3 linked regions of the Elephas maximus indicus genome follow. The protein of the gene in region 2 purifies or fractionates together with the protein of the main gene of each other region. This does not show direct contact. Links are inferred from orthologs where the notes say so. Each region holds a gene or a part of one and is shown on either strand. Other genes may lie near its edges. The genes, in order: POC1A, CORO1A and IFT57.

What was found.
Region 1: the proteins of CORO1A (region 2) and POC1A purify together in Homo sapiens (affinity purification with mass spectrometry; 3 studies listed by BioGRID and IntAct, counting the BioPlex papers as one, with this or other methods). This does not show direct contact. The link is inferred for Elephas maximus indicus from reciprocal best matches to the Homo sapiens genes CORO1A and POC1A.
Region 3: the proteins of CORO1A (region 2) and IFT57 purify together in Homo sapiens (affinity purification with mass spectrometry; 3 studies listed by BioGRID and IntAct, counting the BioPlex papers as one, with this or other methods). This does not show direct contact. The link is inferred for Elephas maximus indicus from reciprocal best matches to the Homo sapiens genes CORO1A and IFT57.

Annotation. Positions count from the first base shown.
Region 1 is NC_064838.1:56,371,133-56,378,177, reverse strand, and holds the start of POC1A (POC1 centriolar protein homolog A), read left to right. Parts: upstream 1-4,025; 5' UTR 4,026-4,331; coding exon 4,332-4,349; intron 4,350-7,045.
Region 2 is NC_064830.1:89,072,843-89,080,480, forward strand, and holds the start of CORO1A (coronin-1A), read right to left. Parts: upstream 3,010-7,638; 5' UTR 2,887-3,009; intron 1,251-2,886; 5' UTR 1,250-1,250; coding exon 1,052-1,249; intron 1-1,051. UniProt on the Homo sapiens protein: May be a crucial component of the cytoskeleton of highly motile cells, functioning both in the invagination of large pieces of plasma membrane, as well as in forming protrusions of the plasma membrane involved in cell locomotion.
Region 3 is NC_064836.1:80,387,000-80,395,002, forward strand, and holds the start of IFT57 (intraflagellar transport protein 57 homolog), read right to left. Parts: upstream 3,019-8,003; 5' UTR 2,558-3,018; coding exon 2,211-2,557; intron 1-2,210. UniProt on the Homo sapiens protein: Required for the formation of cilia. Plays an indirect role in sonic hedgehog signaling, cilia being required for all activity of the hedgehog pathway.

The sequences.
Region 1 (7,045 bases), on a different chromosome or scaffold from region 2:
GAAAGAGACAAGTCCAGGATGTCAGATGGCAATAATTCCCCGGAAGAAATACAGACGGGAAAGGGTGAGTGGTGAGCTGACATTTTACATAGGGTAGTCTGGGAAAGCCACGCTGAGAAGATGGCATCTGAATAAAGACCTGATGGAAGGGAGGAACTGAGTTAAGTGGACACTGGGCCAACAGCCAGTTCAAGAGTCCTGAGGTGGGAGTGTGCTTGGCACATTCTCGTTCAAGGAACAGCAGAAAGGCCAATGTGGCTGGGGCAGAGAGAGCCAGGGAGAGTGGTGGGAGCCAACGCAGAGAGAGCCAGGCCAGATCACTGGAGCAATGGAGGGACGTGATGTGACTGAGGTTGTAGTAAGAAGCCACATGTATTAGGTGACAACTCAACATCAAGCTCTGGCATGAATTTATAGCTCACGGAATCCTCTCTCCTCCACTGTGGAAAACATATTATGCCTGTTTTACAAACGACGACACTGAGGCTCAGGGAGGTGAGGTGACTCCTCCTAGGTCACCCAGCTCAGAGGTGGCAGGGTCTGGATTCACCCCCAGATCTGTCTGACCCTGGGACAAGCCCTGGGCTGCTCTGCTTAGAGTTTCCAACAGTAGTGCATCAGTAGTGCGGGGCAGACTTGATGGCCTTGATGGGGCTTTCCAGGCAGGGAGGATTCCAGATCGGGGTTTACCAGGTTGGGCTGGGCTAGGCCAGCGGGGATCACCCTGTCCTTCCTCCTCTTTTCTCTGCCATCCCAGAGTGACCTTGGCCCTTGGGCTGGGGGCTGGGGAGTGATGACAGGGCTAGAGGCTCTTGTAGGAGGCCTGCTGATGGGCTTTGCAACAGGAAGGGCACATCCTTGCCATGAAGGGTCTTGAAAAAGAAGCTCCCTTCTCACCCCCCACCATGGAGCATCCTCAACATTGAGTCCCCCAAACATGAAGGCCACGGTTAGAACTACAGTCTAACCTGATGGAGGTAGCACTTGGGTGGGGGGACACTGCCCTGTCAGAAAGTATAGGCACTGATCTTGGTTTATAAAGGTTGTACCAGTGTAGATCCTGGATTGTCTATGCGGCGTTGGCAAAGTCAGCCTCTTTGCAATTGTTGGCAAAGAAATGAACAAGATGGGGGGTAATAGAATCACGAGCTCCTTCTCCCTGGTAGGTAAGGGTACAAGACAGTGTGGTCTGGAAAGACGAGGGAGGGTGAGGAAAATCTTCCAGTGCCTCTCACTTTGAGCAAACCTGACATTTGAAAATCATTTTACAGAAGAATTTCTTTAAATTCACCTTTCTAATTTATGAGTTCCTATAGGGCATGTGTTATAGGTTGAATTGTGTCCCCCCAAAATATGTGTCAACTTGGCTAAGGCATGATTCCCAATATTGTGTGATTGTCCACTGTTTTGTAATCTGATGTGATTTCCCTACATGTTGTAAATGCTACCTCTGTGATGTTAATGAGGCAGGATTAGAGCCAGTTATGTTAATGAAGCAGAACTTTTGAGATATAAAAGAGAAGAGAGCAGAAAGACATGGGGACCTCATACCACCAAGAAATAAGAACCAGGAGAACATGCAACCTTTGGACCTGGGGTCCCTGCACTGAGAAACTCCTAGACCCAGGGAAAGATTAATGACAAGGACATTTTCCCAGAGCAGCCAGAGAGAGAAAGCCTTCCCCTGAAGCTGGCACCCTGAATTTGGACTTCTAGCCTCCTAGACTGAGAGAATAAATTTCTCTTTGTTAAAGCATCCACTTGTGGTATTTCTGTTGCAGCAGCACTAGGTGACTAAGATAATATGGGTGTGCCACAGGAACAACTGACAAAAACAAGACAAAATACCACCTAACGACAAAAGAACCCTTAAGTTTAACTGATTAGATTTTTTCTGTACTGTATATAGATTTTTTTCTTCCTTAACTTCCCCCCTTAAATGTTTGGCTGGCAGGCAAGAGAACATCTGAATAAGATGCCAATGTTGGTGGGAAGGCTCGAAAACTGTCCTTTGAGCAGCAGTGAACAGTTTTGGGGTGTGTGTGAGTGAACAGGTGTGCGTGTAGTTGTTTTATGGGGAGTTTCATAGTAGCCAAACATTTCTACGCCAAATCACAGGGAAGATGAGATTAAATGTACCTGTACTTCTTATGGAAACCCTGGTGGTGTAGTGGTTAAGGGCTATGGCTGCTAACCAAAGGGTTGGCAGTTTGAATCCGCCAGGCGCTCCTTGGAAACTCTATGGGGCAGTTCTACTCCGTCCTATAGGGTCGCTAGGAGTTGGAATCAACTCGACGGCATTGGGTTTGGGTGCTTCTTATATCTGGCCCCAGATTTTCCAGAGTCGAATGAGATACCTGCTGCTCCACATACAGCTGCCCCCAGTGCAGGTTCTGAGTTTACAGAACCAGGCTCTGGTTTGCAGGGGCAGGGACACCATCTCAGCATGCAGTAATAAACCTAAGGGCGTGCCAGATGCTTATCAGTGGTGGAGTCTGGCCAACCTGATCTGCCCAGAGGAGGTGATGGAAGGTTCCAGAATCTTGTAAAACATCCGGTCCAGGTCAGCTTCAGGTAGGGAATGTGCCCGGAGTGAGGCCTACCCAGAACCCAGGCCCAGTGTCATAGAGTCGAAGGAGTGAGGCCTAGTAAAGGAAAAGTCTGGGCCGGCCTGCCGAAGTAGAAAGTGAGCAGGGGCGGGCTCTGGTGGCAGGCCCCTGGATTGCCTTCTTCCTTCATTTAAACATCAGAAGGGAGAAGGACATCATGCTTGGTAAAATAGTGGGTCCTCGAAAAAGAGCAAGACCCTCAACAAGATGGATTGACACCGTGGCTGCAACAATAAGCTTAGACATAGCAACAATTGTGAGGATGGCACAGGACTGGGCAGTGTTTTGTTCCGTGAGACATAGGGTCGCTATGAGTTGGAACTGACTTGATGACACGTAACAACAGCAACAATAATTTATCATAGCTCCTCAGGTCTGACAGGTTCCTGGGTGGCCCAAACGGTTTGCACTCCGCTTCTAACCTACAGGTTGGTCTGTTAGAATCCACCCAGCGGCGCTGCAGATGAACGGCCTGACAATGAGCTTCTGTAAAAGATTATAGCCAAGAAAATCCTCCGGAACAGTTCTACCCTGAAACACGTGGAATCACCATGAGTTGGAATGGATTTGAGGGCAAGCGGTTTTCTCAGGTCTAAAGGCTCATGAGTCCGAATCGACTCGATGGCAACGGGCTCGCGTTTTGAAAGGCTCCTTAGAGGGTCAGGCCATATCACATGCCCTCATACTACAAATGGGGATACTGAAGCCCAGAGAGCAGATGAGGTTTTCCTAAAGTCACACAACGAAGCAAGAAGTGGAATCGGAACCAGGGCTTCGAACCAGTTCATTCCAGTTCTAACCCCTGCTGAGATTTGCTGTATACAAGTTCCGAGGCCTTGCTACGGCTGCTGGTTAGGGGCCAATTCTGTCCTCAAAATTTATTATACATAAGACTCACCTGGGGATCTTGTTAAAATGTAAATTCTGATTCAGTACATTTGTGGTGGAAATGTAAATTCTTCCAGGGGTTCAAACCGAACAGGTTTTAAGTCCAGATCAGAACCCAAGTCACTCTCATTCCATGGATGTACTTCCGAGGGACTTGTGCTCTTTTAAATCAACCCTTGTTTTACGCGCGTTAGGACAGGCGAACGATTTAAAGAGTTCCGGAGGGGCGAATAATTGGTTCTTTCAAGGGAATCTTGCCGAAAAACCAGCTGCGCCTGTGCGCATTGGTGCTTTAAGACAACACTAACACGGCGGCCACGTGTCCTCCACTTCCGGGACCCTTAAGGCCCTCGCTTGGGGTCTCGAAACCCGGCCCTTACCTCATGGCATCTCGGGAAATGTAGTTCCTCCTTTCTCCAGACAGGATAATGCGGGGCGGCTTGGAACTGCATTTCCCAGAAGACTCTGCTCGCCGGCATGGCAGCAGGGCAACAGGCAGGTGGGGAAAGTTGTCTTCCTGAGCTTTTTTAATTTTTGTGGAGAAATGAGCAACAGCGGACAGAAGCCTCTAGCAGCGCCTTGTGTGGGCTGTCTGGTCTGGCGCAACTGGGCGGAGGGCGCCGAGACCACGGAGCTGGCAATATAGCGCTGCTTCCGGTCGGGGGACAAAAATCTGCGGGCCGCCTCTCCTTTAATTGCAGTAGGCGGGGAGCGGTGGCGCGACCCGCGTTGCTATTGGCGGCGGTTGGGGGCGCGGAAACTGAACGGGCCGCAACGGCTGCTGCCGCTGCTTCTTAGAGCTCTCGGGGCTCCTCGGGCGACCCCAGCCCGGCGATGGCTATACCCTGCCCGGTAAGTCTCTGCTGGCAGCGGCGGGCGCCCGGTCTTAGTCTCCTCGCTGGGGCAGCGGGCGCCTGGCCAGCGTGATGGCTGCGAGAGAAGCGGATGGGGCGCCGGGTTCCGGGCCGATCCTCTCTTACCTCAGTTTACCCATTTGTGCAGGGAGCGCAGAGTCGGGACACTTACTGAGCGCCTCCTTCGTACCAGGCCCTGTGCAGGGCCGCTGGGGCGAAGAAACCAGTCCATGTCCCAGGGTTTGCATTCTAGTGGGGGATAGCCCGACTCGAGGTGTGACCTGGGGCCAGCGTCGGGCTTCACTGGCCTCAGTATCTCCATCTTGAGCAGTGGGTGGCTGGATGGGGGCCTTGTTGAGGACACGTCCAGCTCGACAGGAGGGAACAGCGGGCAGCTGGGATGCCTGGATTGGCCATCCTCTCTGAGTCCCAGGCTCAGAAAAGCCCCCTTCTTTTTGCGGGTTGTTTTGAACCAGCCTGGCCCTTTGTCTGGGTGGAGAGTCAGGGAGGCTGGGTGGCAGCCTGTGGCCTCCTTCGGTGTCTGGGGATTTGGGCAGAGGGCCCAGACTAAGATCCAGGCCTTTTGACCACTAATTTGGTGCCCCCCCCACACTTGAATAAACCACTGGATTGGGGGAGACGAGGCTGGCCTATGGGGAACACAGAACCTGTGGGATTAAGGGAGGGGGGCTTGAGGGAGGCTTCAAGGGCCCCCAAGTCAGCGGTGCACCTGAACTTGCCTCTGTGCACTGAGCCTAGAGGTGGACACTGTCTTGCTCTTGTTCTTCCAAGAAGCTCAGGTGACAGCTCGGTGGTCATGAGGCAGTTACTTACTACTATTTTGTGGGGGCCCCAACTGCCATTGCCTCTTGTTGAAAAGGGACTTAGGCAGGTGTGTTGGGGGTGCAGCTGGGCACAGCTCTGTGGGGTGGTGGCCGCCTTGGTCTACCCCAAGGGCATCCTTTCCCAAGAGGAGGGCTTGCTGAGCTCCCTGGGGACACCCAAGATACTTCTTTGAGGTTTCTGATGTTTGGGGTGGTGGGACATGTTTTGATGGCTGAGTCAGGAGCTCTGTGTCTCTGGAGAAATTCCCCAGAATATTCTCGCCTTTGTCTGCCAAAGCAGTGCCTGAATGGCCCTACTGCTCTCTGATGTTGTTTAAGTGGCGGCGGCGGCGGCAGCTGTGGTGATGTCACTACGGGCCTGTCCAGGCGTAGCTGATGTTATTGATTGAATTGTGTTTCCCCAAAATGTGTGCCAACTGGGCTGGGCCATGTTTCCCAGTATTGAGTGATTGTCCACCATTTTGTCGTCTGATGTGATTTTCCTACATGTTGTAAATCCTACCTCTATGATGTTAATGAGGCAGGGTTAGAGGTAGTTATGTTAATGAGGCAGGACTCACTCTGCAAGATTAGGTTTTATTTATGATTTTTTATTGTGCTTTAAGTGAAAGTTTACAAATCAAGTCAGTCTTTTACACAAAAATTTATATACACCTTTTTATGTACTCCTAGTTGCTCTCCCCCTAATGAGATAGCACACTCCTTTCCATCCTGTATTCCCTGTGTCCATTCAGCCAGCCTCTGTCCTCTGCCTTCTCATCTCCCCTCCACACAGGAACTGCCCACATGATCTCGTGTGTCTACTTGAGCCAAGAAGCTCACTCCTCACCAGTATCATTTTCTATCTTACAGTCTAGTCTAATTCCTGTCTGAAGAGTTGGCTTTGGGAATGGTTCCAGTCTTGGGTTAACATAAGGTCTGGGAACCATGACCTCCGGGGTCCTTCTGGTGTCAGAGCATTAAGTCTGGTCTTTTTACGAGAATTTGAGGTCTGCATCCCACTGCTCTCCTGCTCCATCAGGGATTCTCTATTGTGTTCCCTATCAGGACAGTCATTGGTTGTAGCCGGGGACCATCTAGTTCTTCCGGTCTCAGGCTGATGTAGTCTCTGATTTATGTGGCCCTTTCTGTGTCTTGGGCTCATAGTTAACCTTGTATCTTTGGTGTTCTTCATTCTTCTTTGCTCCAGGTAGGTTGAGACCAAGTGATGCATCTTAGATGGCCGCTTGCTAGCGTTTAAGACCTCAGACGCCACTCACCAAAGTGGGGTGCAGAATGTTTTCTTAGTAGATCTTATTGTGCCACTTGACCTAGCTGTCCCCTGAAACCATGATCCCCAGACCCCTGCCCCTGCTACTCTTGCTTTTGAAGCTTTTGGCTTATTCAGGAAACTTGTCTGCTTTTGGTTTTGTCCAGTTGTGCTGACCTCTCCTATACTCTGTGTTGTCTTTCCCTTCACCTAAAATAGTTCTTGTCTACTATCTAATTAGTGAATACCCTTTCCCTCCCTCCCTCCCCATCAAAGAATATTTTCTTCTGTGTTTAAACTATTTCTTGAGTTCTTATAATAGTGGTCACAAACAATATTTGTCCTTTTGCAACTGACTAATTTCACTCAGCATAATGCCTTCCAGATTCCTCCATGTTGTGAAATGTTTCATGGATTCATCATTGTTCTTTACTGATGCATAGTATTCCACTGTGTGAATATATTAGGTTGTATTTTGAGTCAAACTCTTTTGAGATATAAAAGAAAATCAACTAGAGAGACAGGGGACCTCATACTACCAAGAAAGTAGTGCCAGGAGCAGAGCAGTCCTTTGGACTCGGGGTCCCTGAACTGAGAAGC
Region 2 (7,638 bases):
TGGAGGTGTGGGCTTGGCACCAGGTGGCACTGGGTCCTTTTCCTGCTTGCTGTGTGACCTTGGTCAAGTTTCTTATCTCTATCTCAGTTTCTTATCTGTGCCCTGAGAGTCAGCACCAAGTGGACTCTCTGGTCTCCAGGCTGCCCCCAGCTTTTCCTGTCGGGGTGAGGCTTCCATGGGTAAGACAGGCCAAGGCCCTGCCCCTGGTATAGGTGTGTGTGCGTACAGTGTGAAGGATGGGTCGAGTTGGGCTAAGGTTCTGCAGAGAAGTGTGTGTGAATGGTAGGGCTACAGGGATGGAGAGGGGCTGGGGAGATCTGTCATAACTGGCCCCTAGGAAAGAGCAGAGGTTTAGAAATGGCCACTTCCGGGGACAGCTCGTGCAGCAGCGCTTCCTGTGTGCAGAGCCGCCCAGGGTGCGGGCCCAGCTCTCACCCCAACAACCACTTCCTCTTCTCTTTGCCTCCATCGGCCCTTTTAAGGTAACAACCTAGGGCCCATCTCCCCTTCCTGTCTCACCCTCCAAAGAGCATAGGAGTGTGCTGATAGCAGAGGTCAGCGGACAGCAGGGGAAGGGGGAGCAGGATCAGAGGGGGCAGGGTTGGGGGAAGGGAGAAAGCCTCTTGCATCATCCATGCCTGTGAGCTGGGGGCTGGGGCTTCAGCCTGGTTACTCAGGCAGGACCAGACTCAGGGTACTCCCAGCCCCTGAGAGCAGTGCTGGGCCTGCCCAGCCCTCATCCCAGCCCACTGTGTGCTCCTGACCGGAGGAAGCCCTGGGCTGAGACTTGGGAGACCAGGCCCTGGAACTGCATGGACTCACTGTGTGACCCTTCTCATGTCATCTCCTGCCTCTGAGTCTCAATTTCCATATATCCACCGCATGTACGAGCTAGAGGAACCTTAAGGCTCATCTGGCCCAGCCCCATTTTACAGATGACAATACTGAGGCCCAGAGAGGCTTGGTGACAATCAGGAACCCCAGGGACCATTGGATGGCTAGAGGTACCCTTTGGTGGAGGAGCTGCTACTCCAGGGTGCCAGGGGCTCACCTTGCCCAGGGGCAGCACCAGGAAGGCCCCTCCCCCACTGGCTTCACAGATCAAGGCCACAAACTTGGGGTTGACGGCGCAGAAGCCACTGTCCCAGGTGGTCTGTGAGACCCGCACATCCTCATAGCACTGGTCGGCCTTGGCTGGCTGTCCGAACACATGGCGGAACTTGCTGGAGCGGACCACCTGCCGGCTCATCCTAGGGACACACAGGTCGGGGCTTTTTCTCCCTTCAGGCCAACTCTGACCTTACCTGGCCCCCTACCTTTCCCAAGACACCCCTCAGTCTAGCATGGAGCCATGAGCTCATTTCCCCACCATCATCTCCTGGGGCTCCTGCCCCTTACTCTCCTCTTGGGCACCCCGCTACCCCCACTGTTAGCCTTCCCCACCCCCTCCTCACTCCTGTTTAACCTGCAAGGCCTGCCTTCACCCAGCCAGGTCACTCTAAGCCACCCCTCAATTCTGTGTCCACAGAGCATGGTGTGGTGCAGGCAACCTAGTGCGTATTTGTTGGTGGATGACAGCCTTTTCTTTCTAATGGTTCAGTGTTGGGGGCCTCAGCCCTGGCGGTTTTGAGGATGGTTCTTTCTCGGTCACGGTCACGATGCTTAGACCTCACATCCCTCGCACCCACATGGGGAGCTTCCAGAAGGCAGGGGCAGGGGCTGGCCCACCCTCCCCTGGCACACGGCTGAACACACAGGAGGCAGTGGCGTGAAGGTTTGCCCAGGGGCATGAGGTGGCAGGACAGCTTCCCCAGGAGGTCTCTGGGCACCAAACACAGACAGATGGCTCCAGTCCCGGTATGGCCTCCTCCCCCACACCTCTGCCTCCCGCCTTTACTCAGAAAATGCAGGTGCCTTGAAGGGCCATCTCCACCCTCACTGCAACTCCCTGCAGGAAGGGAGAGGCTGGCGCTGGCTTCTCTGCCGTCCAGCTGGGGCCAGGCAGAGCGCATGAAGCCGAGGGGATTGCCTCCGGATTCCCCAGGCTCCAGCGCTGGTCCTGGCGCCACCTCGTCTCCTTCCTCCCCAGTGTAGGGCCCGTGTTGCCTCCTCCGAGGGACCCCCAACACCTCTGCACCACCCTCCCCCCGGCTGGCTGCACCCATTTTCTCTGCCCTCAGGCCTGTGCCCTTCTCAATGGGGCTCCAGCCCTCCTTGCCCACCCTATGACACCCTCAGGAGGCTGCTAGGTCTGCTGCCCATGGGGGTGGGGGTGAGGAGCATGTGTGAGAAGCAGCCTGGGGCGGGGTCAGTCGCAGGTGACAGGCCTGGGCCTAGGGAGAGGGGAGCCCCAAATCAGAGGCTGGGGGGCAGGAAGCCAGGGCCCCATCCTGCCTCCTCCCTCACCACAGGTACCAGGCCCGGAAACCATGAAAAGGGGAACTTGGTCTTTTCTTGTTTTGCTCTCAACCCCTTCCTGTCTCTAAGCTCAGGACAGCAGCTCTCCTCACCCTACCCTGCCCCTCACCCTCTGCCCACCCCCAGACTCCCATTTTGGGAAGACTCAAGGCCAACATGTGTCCTGAACTCCTCTGCTCGAGCTGCAGACCCTCTGGGTTCTCCCACCTCCATCTTGTCTGTGGTGGTCCCACACCCTCACCTCTTCAAAGCTCCCCAGACACACAGATGGATATGCACACACTCGCAGCCCACACTCAGGGCCAGTGCCCTCCATGTGGGGACGGTTAGAGCCAGCTCTCCCTGACAGTCTGTCCACCCCCACAGCCACGGCTCCCACGCTTACGCCTGCCCCACAGGTGGCCCAGGGCAGCAATGCCCAGCCCTCCAGCCAGCCCATTCCCTCTTCCCCAGAGGTCCCAGCCTTACCTGCTGCGAAGAGATGAGAGTGACCCCCCAGATGGAGGAGGAAGAAGAGGAGGAGGAGGAAGGAGCTGGAGGAGCTCGAGGCTCGCTGAGGATGCTCTTGTCAAGACAATGAATGAGAACCGCCGACCGCCCGCCTCCTTAGGGGTGGCAGTGCCCCTTTGGGGCGGAGCTCTTAAAGGGACTAGCCCTTCCCTCCTCCGGAGGGGCCCGCCCGCCTGCCTGGGACCCGAGCACCGCCTCCCTTCCCTTCCCTCCTTGGAGAACCTCAGTCAGTGCCTGACGCTGCCAATTCCGAACCAAAACAGCTGCCGTTGGATGGTCGCTAGGACTTTAATCTGAATTTTTTATAATGTCAAAATGCAAAAATACTCTGTTCTTTCTTCCCCTCTTCAGTCCACCCCCAGCCTACTCACCATCCTTTCACTGTTACTTGTAAGAGCTCCCGCCCCCACTTCGATCAGGCCTTTGTAAGAGCCCCCACCCCACCCCCAGCTAAGGCTGTGCTGCTTCCACCTTCCCCTTCCCAACCCCACAGACTGGGGTGGGGGGAGGAGGCGCGGGGAGGGTAGGGAGACAGGACAAGGGAGAGCCAACTGGACCTGGGCCCAGGGGACCAGGGTTCTTGATCTGAGCCTGAATTTACAAACAGGTGGCCCTGGGAAAGTCACCTGACCTCTACGGGTCTCCTTCATCACTTGACCTGCCTGCTTCACAAGTCTGTGGTGAGGAACAAATGAAATTTTGGAGCACCTACTTTGTGGCACGGTGGTTAAGCGTTCAGCTGCTAACCAAAATGTCAGCAGTTCGAATTCACCAGCCGCTCCTTGGAAACCCTATGGGGCAGTTCTACTTTGTCCTATAGAGTCTCTGTGAGTCGTAATTGACTTGATGGCAATGGGTTTGTTTTTTTTTTTACTTTGCAAGGAGCTGCAGAGGTGAATAGTTGAGGGTCCCACCTTTAAAGAGCTCTAGTGGAGGAGGGACAAGCTGGTAACAGCGCTAAGGGTGCTAAACCAAAACCAAACCAAACCCACTGACTTGAGTCAATTCTCATAGAGACCCTACAGGACAGAGCAGAACTGCCCCATAGAGTTTCCAAGGAGTGCCTGGTGGATTCAAACTGCGACCTCTTGGTTAGCAGCCATAGCACTTAAGCACTACACCACCAGGGTTTCCTAAGGGTGCTAGATGGAGGCAAAGGCACAGCTTGAGAATCAAGAGGAGGGAGTTCATTTGACTCGGGCTCAAAGGAGGTCTCCTGGAGGTAACAGCACAGGAGACTGGAAGGGCCTACTCTAGAATGAGATTGTTTTGAGGGTTTGACTCCTGGCTGTCACACCTACAAAGTAACTTTGGTTACTCAGCCTTTTTCAGCCTCAGTTTCTTCCTCAATAACAGAGTCATATATCTACCTCTCAGGATTATGGAGATGATTAACTAAAATTATCCAAGGAAAGCAATAAGCACTGTGTCTGGAGCATAGCAAGTGCTTAATAAATGTTAGCTCTTATCATTATTATTGTTTACAGAACCATTTGGGCTGGACCTGGAAGGATGAGAAAGAGCCAACAGATACAACAGGAAGAGAGTCTTCTAGGCTGAGGGGCAGCCAGAGCAAAGGAACACCAAGGAGCTGGTTCACCACTTCTTGGCTGGGTGATCTGGGGCTAGACCTTGGAGTACTTACTTTGTCCAAGGAGTTGTAGAGGTAAATGAGTCAGGGTCCCACCCTTAGAGATTTGGGGCTGCTCCAGAAGACAGACATAAGGCCAGCGCATGGAAGTTATGGGGAAGCACAAGAGTTACTCCAATGGTAGGTGGTGGAGGCCCTGGCACGTGGCTTATGAGTGTTTAAGAAAGGGCTGATGCCTTCTGTGGGGTGTGCTGGGGTGGGTGTCCCTGAGGGTAGCCTCTCTTGTTGCTGGCCCAGCATCTTTTCTTACACTTCCCTTTACTGGTGGCAGCACCACCATTTTCCTTCGGTGACTCAGCCTTTCCTCACAGGCAGTCTGTGAGGTTTGGTTGGGGATCCAGGGTAAGCATAGGATGCAGACTGACCCAGTCAAAGCAACCTTTTTGGCTGGTTCAGGGATGGCTACATGACTGAAGTCTATACAATCAGAACCAGACTTATCTCGGACCTGCTAAGAAAAAGAAGCCTTCTTCCCACTGGGGGTTAGTAAGCTGATATGTTGGAAACCCAGCACTGGTCATGGCCATCTTGTCGCCATGTAAGAAAAGCTTGTCAGAATGAGTCCATACAAGGATTGCAGAGGCGAGATATAAAGGCTGACATATTCGTGACATCATTCAAGTATCTGGATCAAGCTGTGCCTGATCCCCTTACCCTTTCTCTTACATAAGACAATAAATTCCTTTTTGTGTGTGTAAAGCAGTTTGAGCTGGATTCCTGGCACTTGCAACTGAAAGGGTTCTGACTGGTACACTCACCCGGGAGGGACACTGGACCAGGGGATCGTCCAAGGTGCCAGATACATGTGGTAAAAATTGACTGAAATAGTGAACTATGGGATAAAATCCAAACGCCTTAGCGATGCCTGTAAGACCTTCTCTGATCTGTCCCACCCTAAAGGGGCTGTAGAGTTTGATGGAGACAGCCAGACCTGGAAAACCCTAGCTTTATCATCTCCTCGCTGCCCCTGAACAAGTGATGTTTCCTCATTTACAAAATGTACGCCATCATACTCACTATAATATAAAGACTAATTGAGACCACGTGTATTAAATGCCATGCCTCGTGCCAGTAATCACCCATTATTGTGTTGGCATACTTCTCCTCTCCCCGGATGTCCTAACTGGAGAAAGCCTGGCCCTAGAACCATGCAAGTAACATGTTGTCCTTGGGAAGTCACTTCCATTTGGGGCTTTCTGCCCTTCAAACGGTAAAGTGCCGTATAAACATATGGAAGGGACTGTTATTTCCCACCCTTTCTTATTCATTCATCCACCCATCTATCCATCCGCTCACCGGGTTATTATGTCCCAGGCAGTGTGCTTGGTGCTGGGGATCAGACACTAATTAGACACATCTCTGCCTTAGAGCACACCTGGCCTAGAGTGCCCTGAGACTTAGTTCCATGCCTTTAGGTGGAGCTGTAGGCAAAAGAGGAGTCCCTGGGTGTAAACAGTTAATGTGCTTGGCTGTTAACCGGTGGGTTGGAGGTTAAAGTCCATCCAGAAAGCCCTCAGAAGAAAGGCCCTGTGATGTACTTCCAAAAAATCAGCCACTGAAAACCCTGTGGAGCACAGTTATACTCTGACACACATGGTGTCACCATAAAGACAGAGTCCTGAGAACACTGTCAGAGTCCCTGGATCCAGCCATACTTGAAGCTAGCCCTTTTCAGTTACATAAAGCAATAAATTTTTTTTTTTCCCTTAACTAAGTTTGAGTTAGGTTTCTTTTATTTTTTTAGTTTTTGGTGGAAATAAGGTTCTATTTTATCTGTTCATTTAATTTTGAGTTAATTACATTTTTAAGCTTTTATTCTAGACATTTTCAAATACACAGCATAGAAAGAATTGTATTTAAGAAACCCCCTTTCACCCATCACCCAGCTTGAATAATTATCAACACATGGCCAATATTGTAAAACAAATTCCATACCTCATAGCATTTCAACTTAAATACTTCAGCATTTACCTCTAACAGGTAAGGACTTCTCAAAAAAAAATCTCTTCGCATGTTCAATAAAAATTGCATTAAATTTATAGGTTAATTTGGGAAGGATTGACATCTTTATGATAGTCCATCTATGAATGTGGTATATTTCTCCATAGATGTTATGTCTTTTATGTCCTTCAATGTAATTGTCAAAATGGCATGGGAGGGGCATCTGACCTCCCCTAACTTCACAAAGAAGGAGAATCAAGATCAACAGCCAAAGGCTGACTCCTGTGAGGCAGAGGTCAGACATGCCTCCTCTCTCTACCACTTCTACCGGTTCTAACACCAACTGTCCCTCCCCCAGTACTCTCTACTTGTCTGTTGGGTTCAATAATTCATTGCAATGGTCACACAGAACTCACAGACAATACTTATGATTATGGAGTTTATTAGGGAAGTAAGAGGTTACGATTCAGGCTCAGGAACGTTCAGGATACAGTTCTTCCATCAGGACAGCCTCGTCCGCTGTGCTCGCAAGCATGCCTCTCTCTGGCCCCTTGGCCTCTGCCCTACTCAGGCAAGTGTTACAAAGCTCTTCTAGCTCTGCCAATAATGTGGCCAGAGGCACCCTACTCCACCAGTAAGCCTCGGCCCAAAGGCACTCAGCTTTCTCGCTCTGTGGGCCAGGAAACCCACTGCACCGTCACTCTTGCCAAGTCTCTCCTGCCGTTTCTCTGCCACTGCTTCTTGCTGTCTTCAGTGCTACAGCTCCTTTTCTCTCTCTCTCTCTTTCTCTCTATCTCCCGGTTCCAGAAGCTTCTCAGTGCAGGGATCCCGGGCCCAAAAGACACACTCCACTCCTGGCTGTTCTGCCTTGGTGGTGGTGGGATCCTCTCTCTTCTCTGGAACTGTCTCTTTGTAAGCCTAGCAGGATGACAAAACTGACCAATACCCTTGGTGGGCCACAATTACCTTATTTGTACAGTCCCACCCAATCACTGGGTGGGAGTTACAAGAGCACGGAAAGACCACATAAAAGTGATCCATTGCACCACAATAATGCTTTGCTTCTCTTTGTAAATGTCTTACATAGCATTAGATTTTTTTCTCGACAGGCATACTAT
Region 3 (8,003 bases), on a different chromosome or scaffold from region 2:
CGATTCAGACTCCTAGCGACCCTACAACACAGAAGAGAACTGCCCCATAGGGTTTCCAAGGCTGTAATCTTTATGGAAGCAGACTGCCACATCTTTCTTCCGTGGAGCAGCTGGTGGTTTGAACCTCCAACCTTTCAGTTAGCAAGTGAGTGCTTAACCACTGTGCTACTGGGCTCCTTTGAATCACCTGAGGAGACCATAAAAAATATTGATGCCCATCCAAACATTGCCTCTTCCCTCATCAATGCATCAAATCAGAGCTTTTGGGAGCAGAGCCCCAGTATTTTAAAAGCTCGCTAGATGGTTCTAAGGTACAGAGAGGCTTAAGAAGTTCATTCTCACTCTAACAAACATTTGTTGAAATTTGCTAAATCTCCTAGCCGACTGAAAACAGTCCTACGAAGATCAATATAATTTACACCTAAATATGTGTGGAACAAAACATGTTAGCAACAACATTTGAGTCAGTTTGATCAAAAATCTTAATTTGCTTTTTTTATTTGTAGCTATTACTATTATGTTTATATCATAGTTATCATTGCCACTTTTCATAACAATCAGCAGCCTGCTTCTTCATGTTTCCCCAACTTTTTGTCCTGCGATAGGTGTAAATGCTCTGAATGGTAACATATAGTTGAGAAAAAAAAAAAAGCCGGGCAGCGGGGCGGGGGGGGGGGGGCATGAAGCCCTTCCAGGTATGTGTTTACAACCCTTTCAAAGCACCCACCCACCAACAACTCATCTTTTCCTTACAGGATAATCCCTCGAGGACAGAGAATAGGTACTGATAGGCCTAGGTCAGTGGTTCTCAGACTTAAGTGTACACCAGGACGACCTGGAAGGCTTGTTAAAACAGACCGCTAGGTGCCACCGCCGGAATTTCTGATGCCGTAGACTTGGGAACAGGTCTGAGAAAGTGCGTTTCTAGTAAGTTCCCAAGTGAGACTGATGCTGCTGGTCTGGTGGCCTCACTTTAGAGCCACTGAACTAGGGTATCTCCGCTTGGATCCATGATTCAAAGTATCCTGCTGAACCCCTGAGGAAACCGTACAGAGCTGACAGCAACAGAAATCTTGAGGTCATTTTCCTTTAGCTTCAAAAATATACTTGGAAAAAAAAAAGTTATCATTTTGATTAACAGAAAATATAAGCTGTCTATATTAACCTGATCAATTCATTCTAGTAACTCCCAATCCCACAATTTAAATCATAGATCAAGCAACACTGCTTCTTTTCCCTCTACTTTTCTGCCGTTAAGAGCTGACTTAGCAATATCGACAGTACCCATCCAGCCTACCTAGCATGAACCAAGAAAAGCACTTGCCGTGCAGTCAAGGGGATTAAGCGTCCTAAGAGAGCAGAAGAATGAGATGGAAACTGTCAAGGGAAATTATTTGAGTTTACCTATAGGTATTAAGAGGAAGTGCTAAAGATTCCTAATCTACCTGTTATACAACAAGATAAACACCTGTGAGCTCTAACGTGATGACAAAGCTATAAAACGTTCTTGTCGGGCCACAGCCAGGCTACCCCGATTGGAGGATAAAGTGCTCCCGTCCGTTCCCTTCAGCAGCTAACGGCACTGCCTTCAGGATGTGACGAACTTTGCCCACCAAGAGTAAGGGCTGAACTTTAGGTTCTAGGGTACGGGGACAATTCCAGGGGTTGTCGTTTTCTTTGTCTTTCCCACTTTCGGTTTCTGAGAGTACCACAGCAGTCAGTCAACAAGCTCACTAACTGCAAACAAAGTGCTCAGCAAGGTAGTAGGAGGGGCCGGTTCTCAGAGAGGACAACAAATACTGGACAGAGATCGGAACGGTAACAGCACCCGTCTCTGGGGACGACACTATGGGTGATTTTAGTATTTTTCTACACACAGTTTCTTGTGCTTTTCTAAGTTATCTAGAGTGGATGTTTTTATTCCTTTTAGAACCGTAAAACACAGCCTGCGTTTTTTGGAGGTGCCTGTGTATGTTTTAAACAGGAAGGCTGTCTCCCAGTCCTTCCTGCCGCTCCCAAACCTGTTGCTCCACAAAAATGCCAAGTCGGGGCCCTCGGCCGCCAGCTTCGGGGTGACTGCCCGCGCGCGCTCCGGCCGGAAGGTGGAGGCAGGGCTCGCGGACCCGCTCGGCGCCCGAAGCAGGCCCGACGGGGAAGGCACCTCCCCGGGGCCCGGCCGGCACCCAGGCGCCCGGGGCGAAGGGACCCACCTGGACGGGGGCTTCAGGCTGTCCTTCCGCAGGACTTCCTCCTCATAGCGGAGCAGCTTCAGCTTCTCCAGCAGGTCCTCCATCACCACGAACATGTGGTAGGCCGCGCCGGGCCCGCGCTCCACGGCCACCTCTCCGGCTCCTTCGCCGCAAGGCCGAGATACCCCGTCCTCCAGGCCCGACGGCGTGACCACCGCGGCGGCGGCAGCCATCGCAGGACAGACAGAGAGACTCCGGCGAGGGCTCCGGCCTCCGCCGCCCGCGCAGCGGCCGCCAGGACCGCCGCCTCCCGTTGCTAGGCGACCATCGGGCAACTCGTCACCAGGGAAACTAGACTCCGCCTCCATCCCGGAACCTCCGCGTCACTTCTAAATTCCCTCCAACCGGGGCGGGCCTTCCAGGTGACGTCACCACGGACCCCGCCCCTCCGACGGCAGGGAGGAGGTGGCTCGGAGGCAGCCCCGCCCCTGGAGGCGTGGCGTTCCGTGCCCCACGTCCGGCCGCGCCTCTTCCCGCGGCGGCTTAAAGGCGGGGCGGGGCCGCCCGCGTTCGTCTCAGCCTCCCCGGGGGCGGGGCTTCTTGCCCGGCTGTTTGCTAAGGGCCGCCCGCGTTCCTTTCAGCCTCTCCGGGGGCGGGGCCGCCCGTGTTCCTGAGTCTCAGCCTCTCCGGGGGCGGGGCCGCTTGCCCGACTGGTTGCAAAGGGCCGCCCGCGTTCCTCTCGGCCTCTCAGGGGGCGGGGCCGCCCGCGTTCCTGAGTCTCAGCCTCCCCTGGCGGGGGGGCCCCGGCTTGCCCGGCTGGTTGCTAAGGGCGGCCCGCGTTCCTGAGTCTCAGCCTCCCCGGGGGCGGTGCTTCGTGCCCGGCTGGTTGCTAAGGGCCGCCTGCGTTCCTGAGTCTCAGCCTCCCCGGGGGCGGTGCTTCGTGCCCGGCTGGTTGCTAAGGACCGCCGGCGTTCCTGAGTCTCAGCCTCCCCGGGGGCGGGGCTTCGTGCCCGGCTGGTTGCTAAGGTTGGCCCGCATTCCTGAGTCTCAGCCTCCCCGGGGGCGGGGCTTCGTGCCCGGCTGGTTGCTAAGGACCGCCGGCGTTCCTGAGTCTCAGCCTCCCCGGGGGCGGGGCTTCGTGCCCGGCTGGTTGCTAAGGTTGGCCCGCATTCCTGAGTCTCAGCCTCCCCGGGGGCGGGGCTTCGTGCCCGGCTGGTTGCTAAGGGCCGCCCGCGTTCCTGAGTCTCAGCCTCTCCGGGGGCGGGGCTTCGTGCCCGGCTGGTTGCTAAGGGCCGCCCGCGTTCCTGAGTCTCAGCCTCCCTGGGGGCGGGGCTTCGTGCCCGGCTGGTTGCTAAGGGCCGCGGGGCCGGCGCCTGGGCCTGCTGGTGGGCAAGATGAAAGGGAGACCGAGAGGCTTAGTGTTGATAACTTCGCTATCCCGCTGATTTTTTTTTTTCTTCTCAATATTGAAAGTTTTCAAGGCAGTCGATATTGTAGGTTTCACTTTATCGCAGGAATTTTCAAAGAGAGAGTCTTCTTAAAAAACTTAACCTCTACCTTGTGAGGCAGTGGTTTATTTGATTTAACGGCGTGTTATAATACGTGACGAAAGGCCCATCGCCACCCGAGTGCTCGGAAGGGGCTTGCTGGGGAGGCGGTGGAAGAGGACAGACCGAGACGACGAGCAAAACGGGGACCTCGGGAGCGTTCGTTCTGCTCCCAAAACCACGCTCCGCTCAGCCCGCTGCCCAGTGGTTTAAGCCCATTACATGCAGCATGCAGCTTTGGGGTACCTTGTCAACACCAACAAAATAAAGGAGATTATCTTGCAAGAATCTCCCTGCGCTGTAGTCTTAAAGGGAGCCCTGGTGGCGTAGTGGTTCAGTGCGACGGCTGCTAATGTAAAGGTCGGCGGTTCAAATCTGCCAGGCGCTCTTTGGAAACTCTATGGGGCCGTTCTACCCTGTCCTGTAGGGTCGGAATCCACTCCACTGCAACGGGTTTGGTTTTTTGGTTATAGCGCTAAATGCGGCTAAAGACCAGGTGGTACTTGTTACTTGCTATTGACCTAAAATATACATGCAAGAAAGGGGACTAACTGACCACTATATGGACCGGCTTTCCAGTGCTCGGCAGCCTGTGTATGGAGCAGCTTTCCTAACAGCTGTCCTATAGGGTCGCTATGAGTCAGAATTGACTTGATGGCAATGGGTTTTTAATGGGTCACCGAAAGTATGAGGTAATTGGTAGATGCCCGGAGGTTTCCTGAGGGATGAAAACTTACCAGATTGAACACGAGTTTTGTGTTTAATGTGAGGGATCTCTGATCTCTTGTATCTGCCAGTGAATATATAGAAGAGTCGCACTTTTTGACATAGCTGAAGTTTTAAATGTGCCTGTAATTGTTGTTGGTAGACGAAATGAGCAGAAGAGCACTTTCATTTTAATATCCATCTAGAGCTCACGAATTTGATACTGATAAAAGTATCAAAGTGAAAAATCATAAAGGCAAATACCTTTTCCTAGTTACGAAAGAGAGGAAATACAAAGAGGAAAAGAAAAAAAAAAAAAAACACCATAAAACTGACCTATGTAGAAAGTAACTCAAAAGGGAAGGCCAACTGAGAAATGCTTTTTAAATAACATTGTTTCCATGATGAGTCATTAATCAGCTTTTTTAAAATAAAAATAAGCACGAAAGTTGGGTTTGACTCTATCCCACTGTCAAACTGGTCTTTCTTTTTCTTAGCCCTGTGGAAGGAGTGATTCTTCCCCATACATCCCCACTACCACATGTTTGGGAAGTGTAGTGTGTTGTGGTATGCGTGTATAACTTTCAGAGCACAAAACAGCTGGATATAGCTTTTTAGGATGAAAAAGAAATCAGTAAAAGCTGAGATACATACTTTGGGGTGTTCGGTCAAGCAGCCTGTGGCTTTTAAAATGACTTTGAAAAAGGTGTCAGAAGTCAAACGGTAAATAGGTTACACCTAGGAAAATGGATGTCCACCTGGAGCATGATGCCTGCATAAGATGCTCTGATGTTTTCAGGACTTGTATAGCATGTAGTGTGAAGTAGTCAAGCATTGCTTTTTGGCTGATGAGAACTCTCCAAAAATGATGAATGTACTTTCATGGGGTGGGGAGACTCTCCTAGAACCTAGCTGTTTCCTTCTCAGGTACAATATTGACTTAGCCTGGCTTGAAAGCTGTTTGAAGAATTATTCTTCCCTTTTTAATTTAGTCTTAAAAAGAAAAAAAGCAACAACACTAAAACAAAATGTCCCCAATAACTGTAGTGGAGCCCTGGTGGTGCACTGGTTAAGAGCTTGGCTGTTAAACAAAAGGCCAGCAGTTCAGATCCACCAGCTGCTCCTTGGAAACCCTATAGGGCAGTTCTACTCTGTCCTATAAGGTTGCTATGAGTCTGAATTGATTCGATGGCAATGGGTTTGGTTTGCTTTTTCAGTAACTGTGGGAGCACAGAGAGAATGAAAGAAATAAAAGAAAAGCCAACTTTTGAACACTGTGTTTTCCCACAGCAAAAATGTGGGGAAGAACAGTAAAATGTCATTTTATTTTTATAAGTCTCAGGAGTAATTTTTCCTGATTCCTTAGTTACCCACAATAAATAGTCGATAACACACCAAAAGGTCTTTTCCTTGATGGAAGTAGTATCCTTCACGTATGTGAGCAAACCCACACTCAAATCCTGTCTGAGCCACTTGGAAACTTTTGAGTACCTTTGTGTTAGTTTTTTTTTTTTTTTTTTTTTTACAGGACTGGCTCTGAAATGCATTGACAAAGGAGTGAGGACTTGAAGAGAATGTAATGTCGAAGTATGTTCATGCTGCCTTTAAAGGATCTTAAGAGAGATTTATCCCTGGCTCTACTGTGTTACCACAGTTCATAGCTGGGCTTTTGACTTTGATCTTTTGCAAACTATCTATAAGATGACCAGAGGTGATTTTGAGGCCCTCAGTGTCTTCCAGTGAATGGCCTAATCTCTGAAAATGGAATAACTTCTCATTCAAAGTTGACTGAACAGCATTCCGATGAAAGTTTATTTAAGCTAAATAGATTTCTCTGAAAGTACTTAGCAAGGCTGGAGGCGAAAAGGAGATGGGTTCAAAGACTGAAGAAGGCTTTCAAGCTGCATCTCCAAATATAAGAACAAGTCCTCCAAGAAAAGTGGGCAGGCTTAAAGAACCAAGCTGCTTTGTGTTATAAAGTGGCTTAGTACCACTCATTCATGGCTTTAAAAACTTAGAAAACCACTAACTGAATAATGCTTCTCTAATCTAATAAAAAATGTCTGCTAAAAATCTAGGGGAAAAAAGTCATATTTAAATATGACGCATTAGATGCCATGACTTCTAGAGCTGAGATCAAGGTGAAGACATTCATTCTGAATTCAAAACTGTACTAGAGATCAGAGTCGGTGTACAGAGACAAAAAAAAAATTAAAAAATAGGGGTATTACAAAAGAAAAAAAAACTATTGCAGTTGATATGATTGACTAAGTAAAATATCCAAGAGAATCTGCAGACAGGCTACTAAGACAGCACAGCAAGATTGCTGTATGTGATATCCAAATTAAAGAAAAGTTATTAGAAATAGTAGTTAGGAAAAAAGAAAGAAAACAACTCTCAATAACAAACCATATATAGTACCTAAGAGTAAATCTATCATTATCTTTGTGGAGAAATTACTAAACTTTATTGAAAGTCATGGAAAAATCTAAATAGGGGTATAATGTTCATGGAAAGAAAATCAATATCTTTGCCCAATCTATAAACTCAGTGGAATTTCAACTTGAATTCCTAGTGGGTTCATCCTGAAATCCATATGCAAATTTTAACGAAGCTTGAGGAAGGGATCACCACATCTGATAGCAAGATTCCTAATAACAGCATAACTTAAAATAATGATATCACACAAATAAGGAGAAAATGTAGTGCCTGAAAATAGGTGAAGGTTTATGTAGGGACTCTGTATATGACAAAGTCAGTGTTACCGATTAGTGGAGAGAGATAAACTATCCAATGAATGCTGTTGAAGCAATGGACAATCCATATGGAATCAATTACATCTCTGATTTTCATCACACAAATTGCATATGGATTAAAGATATGAATGTGAAATATTTGTTGGATGTTTAGAAAAAATATAATAAAGTATCTTTAATCTGAAGGTAGGGAAGGATTTCTTGAAATAAGCAAAAAACAAATTTTAAAGAAAAAAAAAACTAACCTATGTTGTACTTAGGTAGAATAAAGGATCTATAAACACTGAAGAAGATATAATGCCAGTTGTTTAGTCTCTAGGCCCCTGTGCCATGCTAAAGGGTTTTAGGTGTGTTTTAGTTCAGGGTTTCTTGACGCTGGCATTTTTAACATCGTAGACTTGATAATTCTTTGTTGTTGAGAGCTCTTCTGTGCATTGTGGGATGTTTAGCAACATCCCTGGCCTCCACCTGGTAGATGTCAGTAGCACCCCCACCCCCAACTGTGACAACCAACAATGTTTGGATTAACCAGTAAGCAAGATGTTCATGGGCTTACAGTAAGCCAGATAGGCACAGACTTACTTGTGTTTACTTGCTAAGATGTGGTGAAACTCATGCGAAATTGTGCACTACGGATTTCTGGCACCATGAGATGCGCTCTGGAGTGTGACTGGCACCACAAAACGTGTCCTAATTTGGGGTAAGAGAGCTGGACTTTGTACCTACATTACTTGGTTATTGGCTGTCGACTGCCCCAGACATCTCTAGATGAGATGATGCCTGTTGACCAAGGGTAATTTTTTGGA